Linked DNA regions of Diceros bicornis minor. The protein of the gene in region 1 binds, or shares a complex with, the protein of each later gene. Links are inferred from orthologs where the notes say so. Each region holds a gene or a part of one and is shown on either strand. Other genes may lie near its edges. The genes, in order: DDX46 and HTATSF1.

Region 1 (9,463 bases):
CTTCTTTCCTATTTTAATGAGAAACTGCATTAGAAATTTTTTTGGTGTCAGGGAGGTTATTTTTATTTAAAGACTGTGTTTCACCTCCAGAAAGGTTATGACTACTTGACTCGTATCAAGGAATATGTAATCAAGTAAAAGTAAAATAAAAATTAGGGTGTTCCTCAGTTTAAATCTAAAACAGTTCTTTAAAATAGTTTCAAACAGCAAGGAGGGCTTGAAGATGGCTCCATCCTGTTCCCTTCTTCTGTCAGCTTTAGTAGCTGCTCTGAACACAGTGGTCAGCTCTCTTGGGACAGAATTAGAACACAACTCCCTTGATGGCATATTATCTTATGTTTTACTTCTTATTTTAACTTCTCAGGGGGCTTCAAGGGTTCTCTTTGGATTACAGGAAATACAGCCTAAAGTTTCCAAACCTAAAATAATGTTTGAGAGAGTCTTTGTTCTATGCAAATCACTTCCAGATCTAATCAAAGAAGCTGGGATTAAAGCAGAGGGCCTGCAAAAGGGGCCACTAAATTCTAGTCCAAAACACACTTTCAAAGAAGCACAATTTAGCCAAGAAGGCCCAATTTACCATGGGTCCTCTGGAGATTAATGTCTTACCTCAGACGCTTCCTGTCTCTTGACCGAGATCTTCTTTTATCTCTACTACGAGACCTCTCTCTCCTTCTATCTCTGTCTCTGCTTCTAGACCGTCTGTCATCTCCACGTTTACTTCTTTTGTCTGAGGGTGAGCGACTTCTAGATCGACTTCCAGAGCGTCCCCGTGAAGCCGATCGCTTCCGATAGTGGCTGAGATGTTAAGTTACAGATTAAGCTTAGCAAATACAGTTGGCTTCTATTATATTTATTACATTTTTCAAAAAAAATCTCAGCAGACAAATTAAACACTGAAAGGACACTTTATACATACACTTCTTTAAAATTAGGGGGAAAGAATATAGCTATAGCACATGTTGGGGGATGGGTACTGTCTTGAAAAGGAAATAAGGACAGTGAACAAAACAGACCAGGCTCCTGCCTTTGGGCCTTAAATAGCTTGCATTGTGGTAAAGGAAGAGACGACAGAAAAGGAAAAAAATAAATATACAATATGTCATGCGGTGCTATGCAGAAAAACACATCAGAATAAAGGAAAAAGAGAATGAGAGGTAGGAGGTTTGCTATTTTATACTAGGTGATTAGACAAGGCCTTGCTAATAAAGTGACATTTTGATTGCTTGAAAGAAGTAAAGGAAGGAACCACGTAGACATGGGGGAGGAATCTTCCAGGCAAAAGGCGCAGCAAGTGCAAAGTCCCTGAGGAGAAAGCTTGATTGGCGTGTTGCAAAACAGCAAGGAAGGCAGATGTAGCTAGGGTTGAATGAGTGAAAGTGGCACGAGAGAAGGTCAGAGATATAGCAGGGTAGCCAAATGTGGAGAACCTTATAGGCCATTATAAGGACTTCTTCTTTTACTCTGAATGAGATGAGAAGCTACTGGAAGATTTTAAGCAGATGTGTGAAATAACCTAACTAATGTTTTTAAAGCCTTACACTGGCTGCTGAGGGGAGAACAAACAGAAAGAAGGCAAGGGCAGAAGCAGGGAAAACACGTAGAATGCTATAGCAATCATCCAAGTAAAAGATAATGGTGGCTTGGATCGGAATGTCAAGTGTGGAGCCGTTAAGAGTGTCAACATTTGGATATTTTGAAGCTAAAGCTGATTGGATTTAACGACTAATTAAATGTCAAGTGTGAAAGCAAGGGAGACATCATGCGTGTCTCCAAGATACTTGGCAGATCGAGTAGAAAAATGAAGTTGCCATTTACTAAGGTGGGCTGAGGGAGGAGCAGATTTGGGGGGAAGGTGGGAAATCAGGATATTAGGCATCCAAGTGGAAATGTACAGTAGGTAGTTGAAATATGAGTCTGGAGTTCATGAAGGAAATATAAATTGGGAAGTCATCAGTGTACAAAGGCTACTTAAAGCAATAAATCTGGATAAGACTGCTAGGGAATGAGGACACCTGATTTATCCCTCAAGTACCTGAAATTCAATGTGTAGAAACCCAAACCTGTTACCTTTCCCTCTCCAATTTATCATCCCCAATTCCAGTCAGCTGGCTCAAAGATACCACTTATCTTCAGTATTTTTCTCTTTCTCATTCTACACAACCAATAAAACACCAAGTATCTCCAATCTCACCTCTGTAATTCTTTTCACAATACACTGCCTCCTCCGAGTTCCCACTGTCACTACTCCATATCAGACTTATCTACGTAGGACATTTTAGGAGACCCCTGGTCTTCCTGCTTTTACTCTCTTTTCCCTTAAACCTGTTTACTCATTGTTGCTAGGGTAATCTTCATAAAGCAGAGTTCTGATCCTATTATATACACATAAACACACACTTCTTACTCAAACTCTTCAAAGGCTCCCAAATAAATTCTTATCCTCAAAACTACAGCTACAAATTCATCCACATTCTGGGCCCGAGTCCCTTTCAGAATCTACCTCCCACTATTTCTTTTCAACCCTTCATGAAACCTATATATGGAGGCAAACCAGGATCTATTTATTTCTCCAACAACCTGCTCTTTTCCATCTCTGAGCCTTTCGTTATGCCCTGAACAAACCTAGAGTACAGGCCCTGCGAGGCAGAGAATTAGGGGAAAAGGCTGAAGGGACTTTCTCATGGAGGGCCTTTAAGGCCGTGCTGAAAGAGTCTGACTTTATCTTGGAAGCACCAAGAACCAATGGAGAGGAAAGCAGGGGAATGACACGATCTTAGCTTTATTTCAGAAGTATCACTACGGCTGCAGTGTGAAGATCTACTAGGAGGGCAAGATCAGAGGAGATAATCAATTTGAAGCAGGTGTAGCAGTCTGAGCAATAAATGATTAGGGCCTGAAGACAGAGACAGTAGGAATGGGGAAACAGCACAGAATCCAACAGGATGTAGGCAGTAAGAGAGAAGAACGAATCAAATAAAGATCACTCCTAGGTTTCTGGTCTGGGTGGCCAGATGAACAGCAATGCCTTCACAGAGAGTTAAAGACCTTTACAAGAATTTTCCGCAGTTATGGAAATATTGTTTATCTTTACCTAGGTGATGACTACACGGTTTATATATTTGCTAATTTCATCAAGCTCTACCCTTAAGCTTCGTCCATTTCCCTGAATGTTAATTTTACCTCAATAAAGTACTATTACTTAATTATTTACAACCTAAATACAAAGGATCTTTCAGTCACTGCTAAATACATAGTAAACACCCATCCTTAAGATAAAAATCTCCAAGTCCCAAACCAGGTAACGATCTCAAGTTTTGAAAAGATATCATAGTTCTAATGAGACCTCCCAGTCCACAGGTTAAAAAGGATAGAAAACATAACAAATATGGTCTATTTGCAAAATAAATGTCCATGCAATAGTATTTATTGTAGCCCAATAAAAGCCTAGAAACGTAGAGTGGTGTAGGTGATGTAAAAATGTTTGTCCACACGCTCCTTTCAGCTGACTTGGGAAGATATCACACACGCACAAAGAACTCAAATAGAGAGCGATGGGCTCCAATGAAATGTTGCAAAGGCGAAGCGGTAAGAAATTCAACTGGGATCACTACTGACGAGGCCACCAGGGCAGGCTCCGCGGAAGTGGCGGGATGTGGTGCCCAACCACTGATGTCCTGGAGGGGTGTTCCCGCTCCAGGGGCTCGAACCCAGCGATGGCACTACCGTCGCCAGCCCAAGTACAGCCACTTCCTCAGCCGAGGTCTCCCAGCCCCTCCAGTGGCCGCGGGCAGCGCTGGCCGCACGTGGGGCCGCGCCGGGCCGCGGCCACCTCAACTCCCGCCTCTTCCCCCACTCTCAGGAAGCCGCTCGCCCGCCGCGCCACCTCACCGTGACTCCCGGCCCATGCTGCCGGCCGCCAGAAGGGGCGCCCCTCAGGACCACGCGCAGGACAACCGGACAAAGGAGGAGGCCGCGCTGCCCTCGGTTCGCCGTGCGAGAAGCAGCACTAAGCGGAGGCAGCAGCTACAGCGGCGGCCGCCATCCGAGCGCGGCCAACGAAAACAGGACGCGCTGGCGCTGACGGCAGAAGGAAGGAAGAAGCGGACCGGAAGCTGCTGCCTCTCCACAGCGCCGCCTCTCGGCTGGAGGCCGCACACCGCCGGCCGCGCAGACAGACGGTGCCAAGGCGCGTTTTCTGTGCACGGCCAGGGAAGCCCCCGCGCGTTGGTGCGGTGGAGGGCGGCGCATCAGCCTTGAGGGTTTTGGGAGAGTGTTTTCTGCAAGGTCCACCAACGCGCCATGTGCATCCACGAGCTGTCCTGGACGTGTACTGACGTCTGCCTTAACCTGCGCTAAGAGATGCTACAAACATCTCCATTCACTCTCATTCATTTATACATTCATTCATTTATATATATTGTTACGTGTCAGGCATGCGCTAGATCCGGGGGAGCTTACAGGCTAGGGGGAATATAGACATTACTAAAAACACAAGTAGTTGTAATACAACAAGAAAGAGATTCCACCGTAGGAGAGGGGTTCAGAAAAAGAATTCCCTGAGGAAGTGACTTTTGAGGTGAGATTTGAAGACTGAGTAGGAGTTAACTTGAGAAGAGGACGAAGAGCGAAAAATACATTCTCAAGATTATAATGGTTCTCAATATTGCTTGCACTTGGAAGCTTTAAAAAAATAATACAGATGCTTGTGTTCCATCCTGATATTCTGATTTAATTGGTTTGGAGTGCTACCTGTGCATTGGGAATGTTCAAGCTTCCTAGGGGACTCTGAAGTACAGTCAAGCTTGAGAACCGCTTGCCTGATGGAATACACACAAAAATGTTGAGTTGCTTAAGCAGAAAGCTGTAATGGAGTTGGGGAGAAGCTCTCCTATTTACATGCCTCTGTACTATTTTACTTTCTTACATATCAGGATGATAGAAAAGTTCTATATCTTGATTGTGGCGGTCGTTGGTTGAAAATAACGTTTGTCAAAATTCATTGAACTGTACACATTAAATTGATGCATTTTATTGTATGTAAATTTTACCTCAAGAAATTTGGTTTTTAAAAAAAAATGAAACCGAGTTAAGACTCCAAGACAAGCTTCTACTCTTCCTCTGTGGCTTACTGCCCACCTGCGGCAGCAGTGCAGTCCACCCCAAGGGTAAGGTAGGCCTGAGCGATTATGTGACAAAATGGACACCAATGAGGGTCAGGTATCAGAGCCACTGTAAATTGCTTGTATGTTGGTTGAAGGTAAGGAGTATGGTTTTCAGTCTAAAAGAAATAGGAAACCACTGGTTACTTAAACAGCGGAGACACTGAGAAGTGGTCAGATTCTGGATGTATTCCGGAGGCAGCACTCCAAACAGTAATTGATAAATTGAGTGTGAACTGTGAGGGAAAGGGTGGAGTAATGATGACTCTCAGGTTTTGAACAGAGGTACTATGGATTGTTGTGAATTTAGGGAGATGAGAAAGGCGTGGGAGCAGCAGATTTGGTGGGGGGAGGGGAGAGAAAAATCAGTCGTTCTGTTTCAGTGATGTGATGTTTGAGATGTCTACTAGATATACAGGCCATACTGGCTACATAAGGGAATACAGTTGTCCCCCCTTATCTGCGGTTTCTCCTTCCTAGGTTTCAGTGTCCTCTGGTGACCATCTGGGTTATCAGATCGACTGTCACAGTACTGCAGTGCTTGTGTTCAAGTAACCCTTATTTTACTTAATAATGGCCCCAAATCTCAGTATTAGTGATGCTGGCAATTCAGACATGACAAAGAGAAGCCGTAAAGTACTTCCTGTAAGTGAAAAGATGAAAGTTTTCAACTTAATAAGGAAAGAAAAAACTTGTATGCTGAGGTTGGCTAAGATCTACAGTAAGGATGAGTCTTCTGTCTGTGAAATTGTGAAGGAAAAAGAAATTTGTGCTAGTTTTGCTGTCACACCTCAAATATGTATGTAGCACAGGAAAAAACAGCATATATAGAGTTCGGTACTATTAGTGGTTTCAGGCATCCACTGGGGGTCTGGGAACGTATCCCCCTCGGATAAGGAGGGACTACTGTATATGAGTCTGGAGTTCAAGGGAGCAATAGAGGTTAGAAAGGTAAGAATCAGAGGCACTTTACAGAATGTATAATAATACATGGTATTTGAAGCCATGGAAATGGATAAGGTCATGTAGAAGTTAATGTTACTGCTGGAACAGATTTTTAAAATCACATACTCAAGTTTCTTGATTTTAAGCAAGAAAACTGAGACTCGGGAAACTAATTTAATCCTCAATCACTCATATTTTTGGAATCTAAGCTGGAACCAGAACCCAGGCATTTGATACCCAGGCCATAGCTCTTTCCAAGATACTTCATTTCTAACTCCCCTTTAAGAGAAGGGGATGAGTCTTCACATCCTGTCACATTCACATGACAATTCTGTCTTTTTATGCCACATATATATATTTATATATGTATTTATAATACATATATTATGCATATATATATATATATATATTTTTTTTTTTTTGCTTAGGAAGATTCGCCCTGAGCTAACATCTGTTGCCAATCTTCCTCTTTTTGCATGTGAGCCTCCACAATAGCATGGCCACTGACAGACGAGTGGTATAGGTCCGCACGCAGGAACTGGGCCTGGGCTGCCAAAGGGGAGCGTGCTGAACTTAACCACTTAGGCCACTGGGGCTGGCCCTGCCCACAATATATTTATGTAAGTTCACAGCACTTCTACGTCCTGGAAGAAGCTGCTTTATCTATTACCACAGGTCTAAGAGTAATTATAGTCTACTATGTCTCCAATATATCACTTTTAGCAAACTGCCCTGGCTTCCAAAGCAGATTTTGATTCTGACTAATTAACCCAGTTCTGAGTATGTCATGATCCTCTTGCTGTTTTTAGTACCAACTGTGATGTACACATGTCCATTTATACAACTAATCAGACTAAAAAGCTATTGATCGAAGATGTCACCTCTCAACAACCATCCTTGTCAATCTAGTTTAACTCATATACATTTCAAGTCCCTGAAATTTCTAAATAAAATATTCTTTTTAATTATTCCAAACACTAAGAAATTTCCATTTCCATTTGATATTATTCAACACTCTTGGTGAGAGATGCAAGCAAATGATCAGGAAGATGCCAATTAGCTGAGGAGAAAAAGCGGCATTGACAGACACGGATATATCTTACAGCTCTTCTATTTGAAATAAATTGGATAATGATCTACAATTACTAAAACTTTACACATGTCAACTGGCTAAATGGGGCTTTTTTCTTTAGGAAACAAAAGAAGTAAACGTGCAGTTGAAGACCTCTAGCGTCTTCCCAGGGATTGGGGAGAAAGTGACAAATGCAAGGATGCTTTCCAATCCTCTAGATACTAGATTCCTTATGGAATCAGGAAAAATATGTGCTTATAATCTTAACCTAAGTCAACAGAACAGACTTAAATTATTATACTTATTCTCCATTATTCTGGTTCAAAATAAAATGCCAAAAACCAAGACTTTGTGAGTAATAAAAAAAAAGTATATGTTTTTAATATTACAAAGATTAATCAAATAGACCATACAAAAATCTGTAGGAAATGTAATACCAAGCAATATAACACTTATGTTTTATACTTTTTTAAGAAGACAAATCTTCCAAATATAACAGCGTTACCAAGTTAGTTAAAAGGATATTTATGCTATTGGGTTGTATACCTCAGTCAATTCTTCAAATCCCATTTTTATATCTAATCATTCTATTCTAGTTTGCTTAAAAAACACACTTCTGAAAATTGAAAACTCAAAAGTGTAAATTTCCAATTCTGAGTTTGGTAATAAAAATTTTCATAAATATAAATTAAGATTTCATAAATACCTTCTAATTTCACACGTATGAATCTTAATAATTTCTTCCACTAAATATTTGCACTGGAATAAAAATTAAGATACTGACTCAACAAGAAAAGATAAAATTGGCTACCTTATTCAGCTCTTATAAGTTAAAATGTGCAGACTTAACATTAGACAATTCCGTTTCTTTCATTTTATTTTTAAGATGGCTCCATTTCTTAAGACAGAACAACACAAACACAAGATACAGTCATTGGGGCTGGCTGAGACCACATTCACCTGCTCTCCTAAAAGCACTAGGTCAGCCCCCAAAAGAAGAATTACAAATCTGAGAAGTTAGGGAAAGGCGTAGGACTAGGGATTCTAATTAAACAAGAAAAATCAATTAATGACAATGGTATTCTATTCTTCACATCATTATTAATACAAACTCAACCCTTTTAAATCAGGGAACCTGCCATGCCAATCCTAATCAAGTGGCTTTACAACCCCTATAAAGTAAAAGAATTACATAAAGGTGTAAACTGATTTGCCTCTTTAAAGACATTGCAATATAGAAGAGAAATTGTTTTTTTTAAGCTTCTCCTTCTGAGTTCTGCAGGCTTCATGGTACTTCACAGCCCCAATAATCAAGCAGTTCATGACAAAAGATAAAAGTGAAAAAGTAGACACAGAGATCTGTGAAAACTTCGCCCATTTTGCTATAGGTATCCATCGATCGATTTATCACTTCAGCAGGAATTCCAGATAACAGAAGTGCAGCTGTTAGTACTGTTGTCTTTATCTTCTTTTCACTCTGTATAGAAAAAGACTTAAATAAATCTTACAGCTTTCAGAAGACTCCTTAAGCTCTATAAAAACATTATCAGTATATTTTTGCCTAACTGATTTCAAAACTGTTAATGAAGTTTCAAAACATCAATCAATAATATATCAGCAGACATTTACTGAGGATATAATATGTAAAGCAGCAAACCGCTAGACAGTAGGGAAAAGACCATTTTTGCTATCAAAGGTTAAAAAAAGTCTTATCTTGGAAGCAAGACAAATAACAATTTAAGATATATACAACAGCATAAGACAAAAACAGGATAAACATTACTAGACAGGATATAAAAGACTTCTAAATGAATGACATGGATAATGTGTGGCATGGTGGCTCAAAGGAGACAGAAATTAGTTCAGGCTTTTATGTATAAATAAAGCACAGAGAAGGATTTCAGAAGGAAGCGGAATTAAAAACAGGTCCTCAAGAATGAGCAATATTGGGGCCAGCCCAATGGCATAGTGGTTGGGTTCATGCACTCCGCTTTGGTGGCCCAGGGTTCATGAGTTCAGATCCTGGGTGTGGACCTGTGTACTGCTTATCAAGCCATGCTGCGGCAGGCATCCCACATATAAAGTAGAGGAAGGTGGGCAAGGATGTTAGCCCAGGGCAAATCTTCCTCAGCAAAAAGAGGAGCATTGGCAACAGATGTTAGCTCAAGGCTAATTTTCCTCATCGAAAAAAAAAAAAGCTACAGTTACCCAGAGAAATCAAAGCCTATGTTCACGAAAAGACTCATACAAGACAGTTCTTAGCTGCTTTAGTCATAATAACCCA
Region 2 (9,496 bases), on another chromosome or scaffold:
CTTTACTGGCTGAGTAAAACCTTCCAGCAGCATTTTAAAGATCAGTTACTCTGTTGCAAGGCAGAGCTGCCTGACCCTCCACCTGCAGATACCCCTCTGAACAACCTGGCTGTGATGGGACGGCTCCCTGGTGCTGGGAGCAGGCAGGTGTCTGAAATTAGTGTGACCTTGTTCACCGGGTGTAGTGTGAAGAAGGAAGACGACAGAGTCTAGCTTTTCAATTAAAAATGGTATTTTTCCTCCCAGCGTGTGTATCCGACTCTGAGCTGTGCGTAGGTGTATGGTTGGGTTTGTGTTGTTTGTGAATTGTGCTGAAATCTTAGGAGTGAGGGATCCTGATAAGTAAAAGACAAACTGATTTTCTTCAACGTACAAACATTAACGTCATTGGGCTTTCTAAATAAAGTGAAGCCTCAGTAGGTATAGAAAGACATATTTGCATACGTCAGTGGGTAGTAAGGGAGGCTGAATAGGAGGGAAGGTAAAATAAACAAGATGACACTTACAACTCTGATTTGTTTCCATCACATCTATGATGCTTATTTCTCATATACTCCTGTGAGTTGCATAAAACTGTGTTTGTGTTTATTATGTGGTGTAAATCTAGAGATTATACTTGCATATGAAAAGGGGATCAAAGAGAGATAAAACATCTCTTCTGTCGCTTTCTTGAAAAACAAAATCCTAAAAAATAAACCTTCACAGGTTTTTTGACTGCCCTTTTCCATTAATCTCTATTCCACTAAAACTAAAGCTGTGCATTGCAAGGCAAGTGTTTTGGGGTCAGCGAGTATAAAGTACAATACTGAGTAAGGATCTGGGGCAGGGGGCTTGCCTTACTGGGTCAACACTTACTGACTTAATGTGGTTCTACTTACAACCAGCATTGATTGATAATTGGGCAAAGTTATCTTTCACAAATATTGTGAATAACTTGCCTTATTCACAGGCAGAATAAGTGGCCACGTTTACCGCGTCATTTGAGGGCTCCAGGGAAGGACCTGTGTTGAAAAATGTGCAAGCCTACCAGTGTCTGAAATTTTTCCTCTAAGGAAATTCCTTTCTTTCTGGTAAGCAGTGCCCTCTTTCTAAAAAGTGCAGAAGTACCACAGGAAATCCCTAACACCTGGGTGCACAGTTGTTATCAGATCATCTTTCTGCTTGACTTCATTAAACTTGATGGGTGCCTAAAACCTGTAAGAGTATGACCTAATTAGTCTCTGCCCTTGGAAATCAGATGGAAGGTTCTGATTTTCTCTCCTCTGCTCCTACTTGCTAATGCTATAAGCTTGTTCATAACTGTTATTTCAAATAATTTTTGTCAATAGACATAGATTCAGATTTGTGGTTTCAGAAAATGTTTTCTTGTGGCAAATTAAAGCATATGTTTGGCACTATAGGTAGTTAAATTTGTATTTTCAAAAACTTGATTTTGGGGTGTGCTTTTGGTAGTTTCGAGCTTTCTTTAAATGGCTTGTGTAGTTGTGAACTTTTGCTAATCATGTGGCTCAAAAAGGGGATATATATTAACACTAGACTTTACATTTCTGTAAAATCAGTTTAGTCAAAGTGGGGGGGTGTTAGTATTGTATTTGTATTGTTTTAAGTTGGACATTGTAATAAGGGGGGAAATAAATAAATGTGAAATAAAGTTTTAAATGACTATGTAATTTTATATTCTAAAAACAATACTTCCAACAGAAGATAACTGAGAACCCATTTAACTCGAAAATTTAAGTGATTTTCAAGTCACCAAACTCCAAAATATTTGACTGTTTTCCTCACTCTGGGTAAAAATTACATCTTTACTCTCCTAAGCATAACAGTTTAGAAATAACTTGATTAAAGTACCAGATTACAAAAGCCAAGAGAGCCTTTTAGCAGTTGATAAAGCTAGAGCTCAAAGAACTTTCATTTTCTTCATGCTCAGTAATCCCTACGTGACTTAGGGATCTGACATAAAATAATTCTCTAAATGATCTTATAGGGCATCAGCCTCCCATCCAGAGTTGGGGAATTAAGATTAAAATTCATGGCTTTGATTGGATTTTTTTGGAGGGAGTGGTCTCTTTTTTTAACAGATTATCCTTGTCAGAACTAACCATACAAGTAGGCCCCAATATTCACAATTTCTTTCACCTTGCCTATTGTGGTGCCAGAAATGTTACTCTGGAAGATTTCATTTCTTTGGAGATGGTCCTAAATGGGTGGAGAGGTGGGACACATGAAAAACAAATTTTGTATACTTCTCAACTTTGCTCGGGGTCTGCCATGACCCAAGACTTAGAATGATGGACCATAATAATATGCTACCAAGCAGGAAAACAAAGCCACAAAACATACTTAGGCACAACCATAACGTTCGATGGGCAAGTCTTCGTCACTGAAGCTGAAAGCACTACAAAATATTTAACACTGGCATACCTAGTGAAAATAGCAAATTTGGGTTTAAAGAATTTCTGCAGTTATAACCATCTTAAGTCAGGGATCCATCAATCATTTTGTCAAACAGAGTTACTTTTATTTCCACTAAGTCTTGAGATTACAGAAAGTGGGGACAGGAAAATTCCCGAACAGAGTAAGCTTGAATGGGCCATTAAAAAAAAATCTAGTTTGGTATAGCTCAGTAGTTTTCCAGAAAGAGTTCCTACGCCAGGTAGGTGACTTCTCTGACCAAGAGATCTCTGCTTTGTAGGTTATTATATTTTTATCCACTAAGAAGGCCTTGGCCTATTAGATCAGGAGTACAGCACAGATCACCCCTTACAGAGGTCAAAGAGAGAAGGATGAAGGAGATACTCAGAGAGAAGCCGCTGTCCAGGTTCTGAGACTGGTTCGGCTTCCTGGGTCCAGCAGCCCCTCATGTGGCCCATCTACAGTCCAGGCCTGGAATTTCAGGAGCTACTCTCTATCTTCATAATAATAAAGCTCCCTCGTTTTTGCTTGTTACCTTGAGTGTTTCTGTGACTTGCAAAAAAGCTCTCTGTCTTATGAAGACAGAGATACTTCCAGATTTCCTCAGTTACTAGGGAGTTAATTCTATGACTATACAGGGAAATAACAACAAACAGGAACCAGCCCTCATAGAGACAACAGCATTGTTTAAAAAAAAAAAAAAAACTGTCAGGTCTCGTGGCCAAAGAGAACGCCATTGTAGGTACAAGTGTGCTTAGCTCCCAATTCCACTGCTGCACTATGATGGTGACTCAGTGACCCTGTCACTGCCTCAGCTTCTGCTCTCACCACTGGGGAACTTCTCCACAGCAGGCCTCTGTTCTGCTTATTACCCTCCCTGTGTGGCCCTCCCCTGCTTCTGTGCTACTCTGACCATGTCCCTGTCCTTCCATATTCATTCCTCTCCTGGGGAGACGCTCTTATTGGCTCAGTCAGTTAAATTTTGTCTAGAAAGCACGGCTACCCTGCCAGGTCCCCTCACACACCTCTGGACAGCCTTTGGGTCAGGGTGGCTGGGCCCCATGGGACGTAGGCATAAGGAACCTTTTTGGCCACCTGCTCAGAGGGGCCCGTGGATATAGCAGGCATTCAGAGTGTCACGTGCAGTAGGGCTGTATAGCATATTATCACCTATGCTGTGATCTCACTCAGGAATAAAATGGGAGCCCAACAACACATTGCTGAAAACAGCTGTATGCTATTTCTGGAGCCAAGAAGAAATATTCAGCAATGCTTAAATGAACCTAACAAAACTGATGTTATCTATATTATAAAAATGCATGCAAGTGCAGTTCTCCAAAAGTCTCCACCAAAACAAGAACTCCATGAAAAAGAAATGTAATTAAAAAAAAAAAACCTAAACTCAAGCTACTACTTAAAAATCGTTGTTATGGTTAAAACTATATTCACACAGCTAGTATTTGGGGAGTTAGGATTTTCTAGAACCCATACTCAATCGCTATGTTTAGAAGCAAAGGTCACTAGAAGAGTAAAAAGAACTTCTTCTGGGAAGCTTTTCCCCACCCTCAAGTATGCATTATGAAATTTATGTTTACACATAATGAGTTTATTGTTAGTTTTAAAGGAATTAATATTCTTTTAAATAGCTGTTTTAATTTTAGTGTGACAAATATTGATAAGAATGATTCACATAAACAAAATCTCTTTGAGGTCTTAAATAATTTTTTGAGTGTAAAGGGGTACCAACACCAAAAGGTTTGGGAACCGCTGTTCTCCAGCGTCCAGTTCTTCTATCCTATCATGTCCCAGACAACCTAAGTGTGTAACCCCCGAGCTGTGCCTGTCTTGCTGACTGCTGGCTCGCCAGAGCCTACTACAGTGCCTGGTACCTAGTAGGAACCCAATAAATGCCTGCCCGATTAAAAAATACAGACCTCTTCATTTTCAGCAATATGTATAACTCCCGGGGAAAAAGTTCTGTTTAGAGGAAAAGCATTCCGTGTCTTTCCAACAGAAAGACAAAAAATGAAGTTAGTCGGCCAGCAAAGCTGGTGTTTATACTTGGATGTTTACATTTAAGTTTCAGGTTTGCAGCTTGAGCATCTCTGAATCATGGAGCATGAGAGGTAGGCAACTGCTGCCCTCCCTCCCTTTCCACAGAGTCCATCTCCAGCCTGAAGAAGGTACCGGAGAGAAAAAGGAGGGGATGAGGCTTGGAAAAGAAGGTTGGTTCTTCTACCCATCGTTCCTTCGTTCATTCCTTCACTCACTCATTCAGTACGCGCTAGACCCCAGACCCTGTGCTAGGAACTGAGGCTACCAAGACGCAGAAGAGCCGGCGCCTATCCTAGAGAAACTATAAAGAAACAAGTAAAAGACTCGTTTCCCACGCGGAGGAGGGGCCTCTGGGCGAAGGAGGCGCGTCTTTTTCTCAGCAAGACAAACCTGTCCTGTCCGCCCCATCCACTCCCCCAAGATGGCGGCCGCCCGAAGCGCGCCGCGGCGCCTGCCCAGTGGGAACATTCCCACGCCTTCGGGCTACCGGCCCGGCTCGGCCCTGCCCGCCGCGGACCCGGCGGAGCCCGAGGTGCCGGAGGTACCGCTGCCCCCTGAGGCGGCCCGGGCGGCCATTATCACGCGGCACCCCCGGCGCCCCGCCCTCTGGCCCCCGCACCTCTTGCCCGCGTCGGCGCCTGTTGACGCCACGGTGGGCGTGTCGGCGCGACCCGCGACGTCGCGACGCGCCTACAATGGCGACTGCGTCAGCCTGAGCGGGCCTCCGTTTTCAAGTAATTTCCTGACGTTGCCGCGGGAGCCGCAGTCGCCTCAGACCCGGGCGGCGGCGGCGGCGGCGGCGCGCGGGCGCGCAGCGTTCGCGCCCTGGATCGAGCGGCGGCGCCGAGGCCCGGCGGAGTGAGCCAGGTGGGCGGCGGCGCGGCCGGGCTGGGAGCATCGACGCGCGCGCGGCGGGCGGAGCGGGGGGCGGCGCGGCCGCGGAGCGGCCCCGATTTCCCGGGGGCTGCTGGGGCGCCGCGGGGAGGCGGGCCGGGGGACTGCGGGGCGCGGGCCGAGCGCAGCCGACCGCCTTTTCTCTGTGCCTCTCCAGCGTCATTTCGGCCTCTTCGCTCGCCTGGACCCTGCCCTCGGGCTAAGTCGGCAACATGAGCGGCAACAACTTGGATGGCAACGAGGAGTTTGATGAGCAGTTGCGAATGCAAGAGTTGTACGGAGACACCAAGGACGACAACACCCAGAAAGATCCCGGCGGGGAACCCGATTCTTTCGGGCAGCAGCCGGCTGACACCCCCTACGAATGGGACCTGGACAAGAAGGCTTGGTTCCCCAAGGTAAGAGAGTGGCACGGGCGCCACTGCAGAGCGGGCCCGCCTGGCCAGCCTCGCGGGGCGCTCCTTTGACGTTTTCTTTGCTGAGGTCCTAGGTTAGAGCCCGCATGGATAGTGACGTTTGTTTTGTTGTGTCTGTTGCAGAACCGATGTGTAAAGGAAGCTAAATCTTTAGGAAGATGTCTTAAATGTATTTAATTCTTAAATCTTTTCTATGCCTTATTAATATTACCTGTGAAGGTCACAGTTGGTTATTACATTGGTAACTGCTTTTTGTTGCAAAGAGGAGAAACACCAAGCTCAAATTTAGTAGCTCAACTCATTTATCCTAGGAATGCAGATGTTTAGCTTATATACTATGTGCAAAATGCAGCTTCTTGATTGGGAAAAAAAGAGTAGTCATTTAGAAATCTTTACTGATTGAACTTTGCACCTCTCTTTACTTTCCTATTAAATTTTGTCCTTAGACACAAATGTTTGAACCATATAACCATAGGAATATGAGTAGAAGTGCACAGAGTATGGATGGAAAAATCTGTGTATATTTATTTAGAGTACTTGGACATTGTTAATTATTTTGGTTCAGCTTGGAAGTAAAATAACTGGTGTTAAACTTGGTTCTGTGAACTTTTCAGTAGAAGTATCCTGGTAACCAGCCTCTTAGGGTTGGACACGAGGATAACCATAGCACACTAATTGACTTGCAAACCAGCAATACAACCGTGTCTCCATTGTGTAATTTGACTGTTATTTAAAAGATTATTTCAACTTCTCTCTTTCTCATTTTGTATTTGTGTATATATTCCCTTCCCTCCAAATTGTTAAATTTTTTATTTCGCTTCTGTCCTGGTAGTGCCAGCTCCAGTGCAGACTTGGTTTCTTCAGCCTTCTGAGTAGTTTTAACAACAGTCTGGTAATGGACTAGTTTGTGACTCTATGTTTTTAAGTTATGAAAGCCCATACCTCTTCAAACTTTGAGTTTAAAATTTTCCCCATTCCTATGTATGTTTAACATTGATCAGTATGAAGATATAACTGCATTTCTTTCATTGTGCAATTGTGCTTTTTTTACCTAAAAGCCAGGAGGATAGATGTGCGTTGGGTTTGTACTTAATTTGTTCTGACACTAAATGATAATGTGATTTAATTAGTGATAGAGTTAGAATAAGCATTTCGTTTTACAATTGTTAGCTCTGTTCTTCATATACCAAATCACAGTTCAGTTCTGTGTCTTCTTTGCATACAGATATTTAAAAATTTAGTGTACATGTACTTTTGTGCATCTATATAGTAAAAGAAAAATTGATTCTGTTAGATTATTACTTGACTATTGCTTTTTATTTTTATTGTTACCTGATAGTTGCTTTGTTCCACGTACTTGTAGCCTTAGTCAGCTAGACTGTAGAGAGGTAGTAATTTATAAATGAAACAACTAGAAAGGTGCCAACATCACTTAAAATGCTTTAGTAGTATCTCAGACTTTTCTTTTGATAATCCAAGTACCCATTTCTTATTTTTTATCATTTTATGCACAGTTTTCTATATAAGGTGACTATTCTTGCATTTACACTTTAATTACGATAACTATTATCTACAGAAGCACTTCTGTGTTAACTTGTATAACTGAATGTGCTGTAATTTAACACAGCATAAACTTTTTATGGGAGGGAATTATTTTTTAATTTCTGTATGTGTGTGGACTAAATTTCTTGTTTAGATCACTGAAGATTTCATTGCTACGTATCAGGCCAATTACGGCTTTTCTAATGATGGCGCGTCTAGCTCTACTGCAGATGTACAAGATGTCGGCACTAGGACTGTAGAGGAACCTCCGCAGAGACAGACCCCTGAACCCAGTGATCCCAAAAAGAGGGGAGAAAAGAGAAAGGCCGAATCAGGCAAGTGGATTTAGCTTGCAAAACATGAGTGTAACAATTAAAAATTGTGAGAGTATGTATATATAATTACTTTTTGGATAATTATAATAGCTTTGAAGGAATCGTAAGATGAGGATTTTTTAAGTTATTATTTGGGTTTATATGTTGGCTCTCACACTAATTTGTGAGTATTAGGTAGGCTGTTTCACTTCTATGCCTCAGTTTCTTCCTTTGCAAAATAGAACTATTATTAGGGGATTATCAAAAATTCTGTTTGTAAGATTATTTTTTTGTGTTTAATTAAATTGAACTCAAGTCAATCTTGTTTCATCTTGGCCATGTCTGACACAGTAGATTGGAGTCAGAAGCAACCTATGCATGCCAGGGCCTAAAGTCAGTGCAAGGATGAGTTTTTGTTTTTTTTTTTAAGTTAGTATCAGAATCATAAAGAACCAAGATAAGTTAGCCATCTTTTTTCAGACAAGGCTCTGAAACTATCTGTAAAAAGATCCAAATCTTTGAAAGCTGGACTGTGATTTGAGTTAGTCTGTCTTGTTCTAAAGGTAAGGAAAAGTTCCTGGAAGTTTTGAGAAACTGCCACGTTGTCAAGGTTTCATATTATGACTCTTACCTTTTCTTGCATGTGTTTTATTTATTTCATTTTGATTTTTAGGATGGTTTCATGTTGAAGAAGGGAGAAATACAAATGTATACGTGTCGGGTACGTATACCTTTTTAAACAAATTTAGAATAGAAAATATTTGATGAGATTTTTTGTGAAGTGATTTTGTTTTCAGTTTCTCTAAATCTATTTTTTATCATCGTGCCAATATTTTTAGCTGTTTTAATTAGCAGGGAATATGTTTGTTATTTATTACAAAACTAAGAAAAGTTATGTGTATGTAATTTTGCATGACATCATTTTTGTCTGATTTAGGTAACTTATGGTGCTTTGCCCCTTCAGGTTCAGTGATACAAGGCCTAAGCAAAGCATAATTTAATGTATACAGTCATGTGTCGCTTAACGATGGGAATACGTTCTGAGAAACGTGTCGTTAGACGATGTTGTCATTGTGTGAACACCACAGGGTGTACTTACACAAACCTAGATGGTATCGCCTACTACACACATAGGCTTTATGATACTTATGTTATGGGACCACTGTCATATGTGTGGTCCATCATTGACCAAAATGTTGTGCGGCACTTGACTGTGTTTGAATACATTAAAACATGAAATTTCCTCAGTTCTATAGATGTGAGATTTTTACATACATTTAGAAAATCAAAATTGCGCTCATCTAAGTTGTAGATTTCTAATTGGTAGAATGCTAGGTAACCCTCACCTTTATTGTAGATGCCTTTATAAATGTTTTTTTTTAATTTTTCCTAATGTTACAGGTTTGCCTCCAGACATTACAGTGGATGAATTTATACAGCTTATGTCCAAGTTTGGCATTATTATGAGAGATCCTCAAACAGAAGAATTTAAGGTGAAGCTTTACAAAGATAATCAAGGGAATCTTAAAGGAGATGGGCTTTGCTGTTATTTGAAGGTTAGTTATGTGGTTAAATAAGTTTCTCATATCTCCATTTTTAACTCAGGAACCGGGGCTATAATTATGTATGTATGATAACTAAGACTGAGAACTTTTCAAAACAGAATATGAAGAAAACTGAAAGTTTAGATTGCGCCTGTGTGTATCCCATTGGTAAGGTTATTCACTTGTTCTTCTAAGAAAAATATGTTATCATGACAAGGTATTAGATAAGTTGTATGGCTGAAGTGCTTCTTTTGCTTAAAAGAATTCTCACTGCAAAGATCTCTTTAGGAGTATATGCATATAATCAATTCAGAAC

The links.
Region 2: DDX46 (region 1) and HTATSF1 share a complex: the UniProt entries of both Homo sapiens proteins name them as parts of the 17S U2 SnRNP complex. The link is inferred for Diceros bicornis minor from reciprocal best matches to the Homo sapiens genes DDX46 and HTATSF1.

Annotation. Positions count from the first base shown.
Region 1 is NC_080740.1:53,802,244-53,811,706, reverse strand, and holds the start of DDX46 (probable ATP-dependent RNA helicase DDX46), read right to left. Parts: upstream 4,044-9,463; 5' UTR 3,909-4,043; coding exon 3,892-3,908; intron 799-3,891; coding exon 610-798; intron 1-609. Other genes in the region: guided entry of tail-anchored proteins factor CAMLG, read right to left, coding at 8,465-8,656. UniProt on the Homo sapiens protein: Component of the 17S U2 SnRNP complex of the spliceosome, a large ribonucleoprotein complex that removes introns from transcribed pre-mRNAs.
Region 2 is NC_080781.1:124,127,535-124,137,030, forward strand, and holds the start of HTATSF1 (HIV Tat-specific factor 1), read left to right. Parts: upstream 1-5,154; 5' UTR 5,155-5,337; intron 5,338-5,521; 5' UTR 5,522-5,576; coding exon 5,577-5,762; intron 5,763-7,476; coding exon 7,477-7,657; intron 7,658-8,309; coding exon 8,310-8,357; intron 8,358-9,037; coding exon 9,038-9,192; intron 9,193-9,496. Other genes in the region: BRS3 (bombesin receptor subtype-3), read left to right, coding at 1-213. UniProt on the Homo sapiens protein: Component of the 17S U2 SnRNP complex of the spliceosome, a large ribonucleoprotein complex that removes introns from transcribed pre-mRNAs.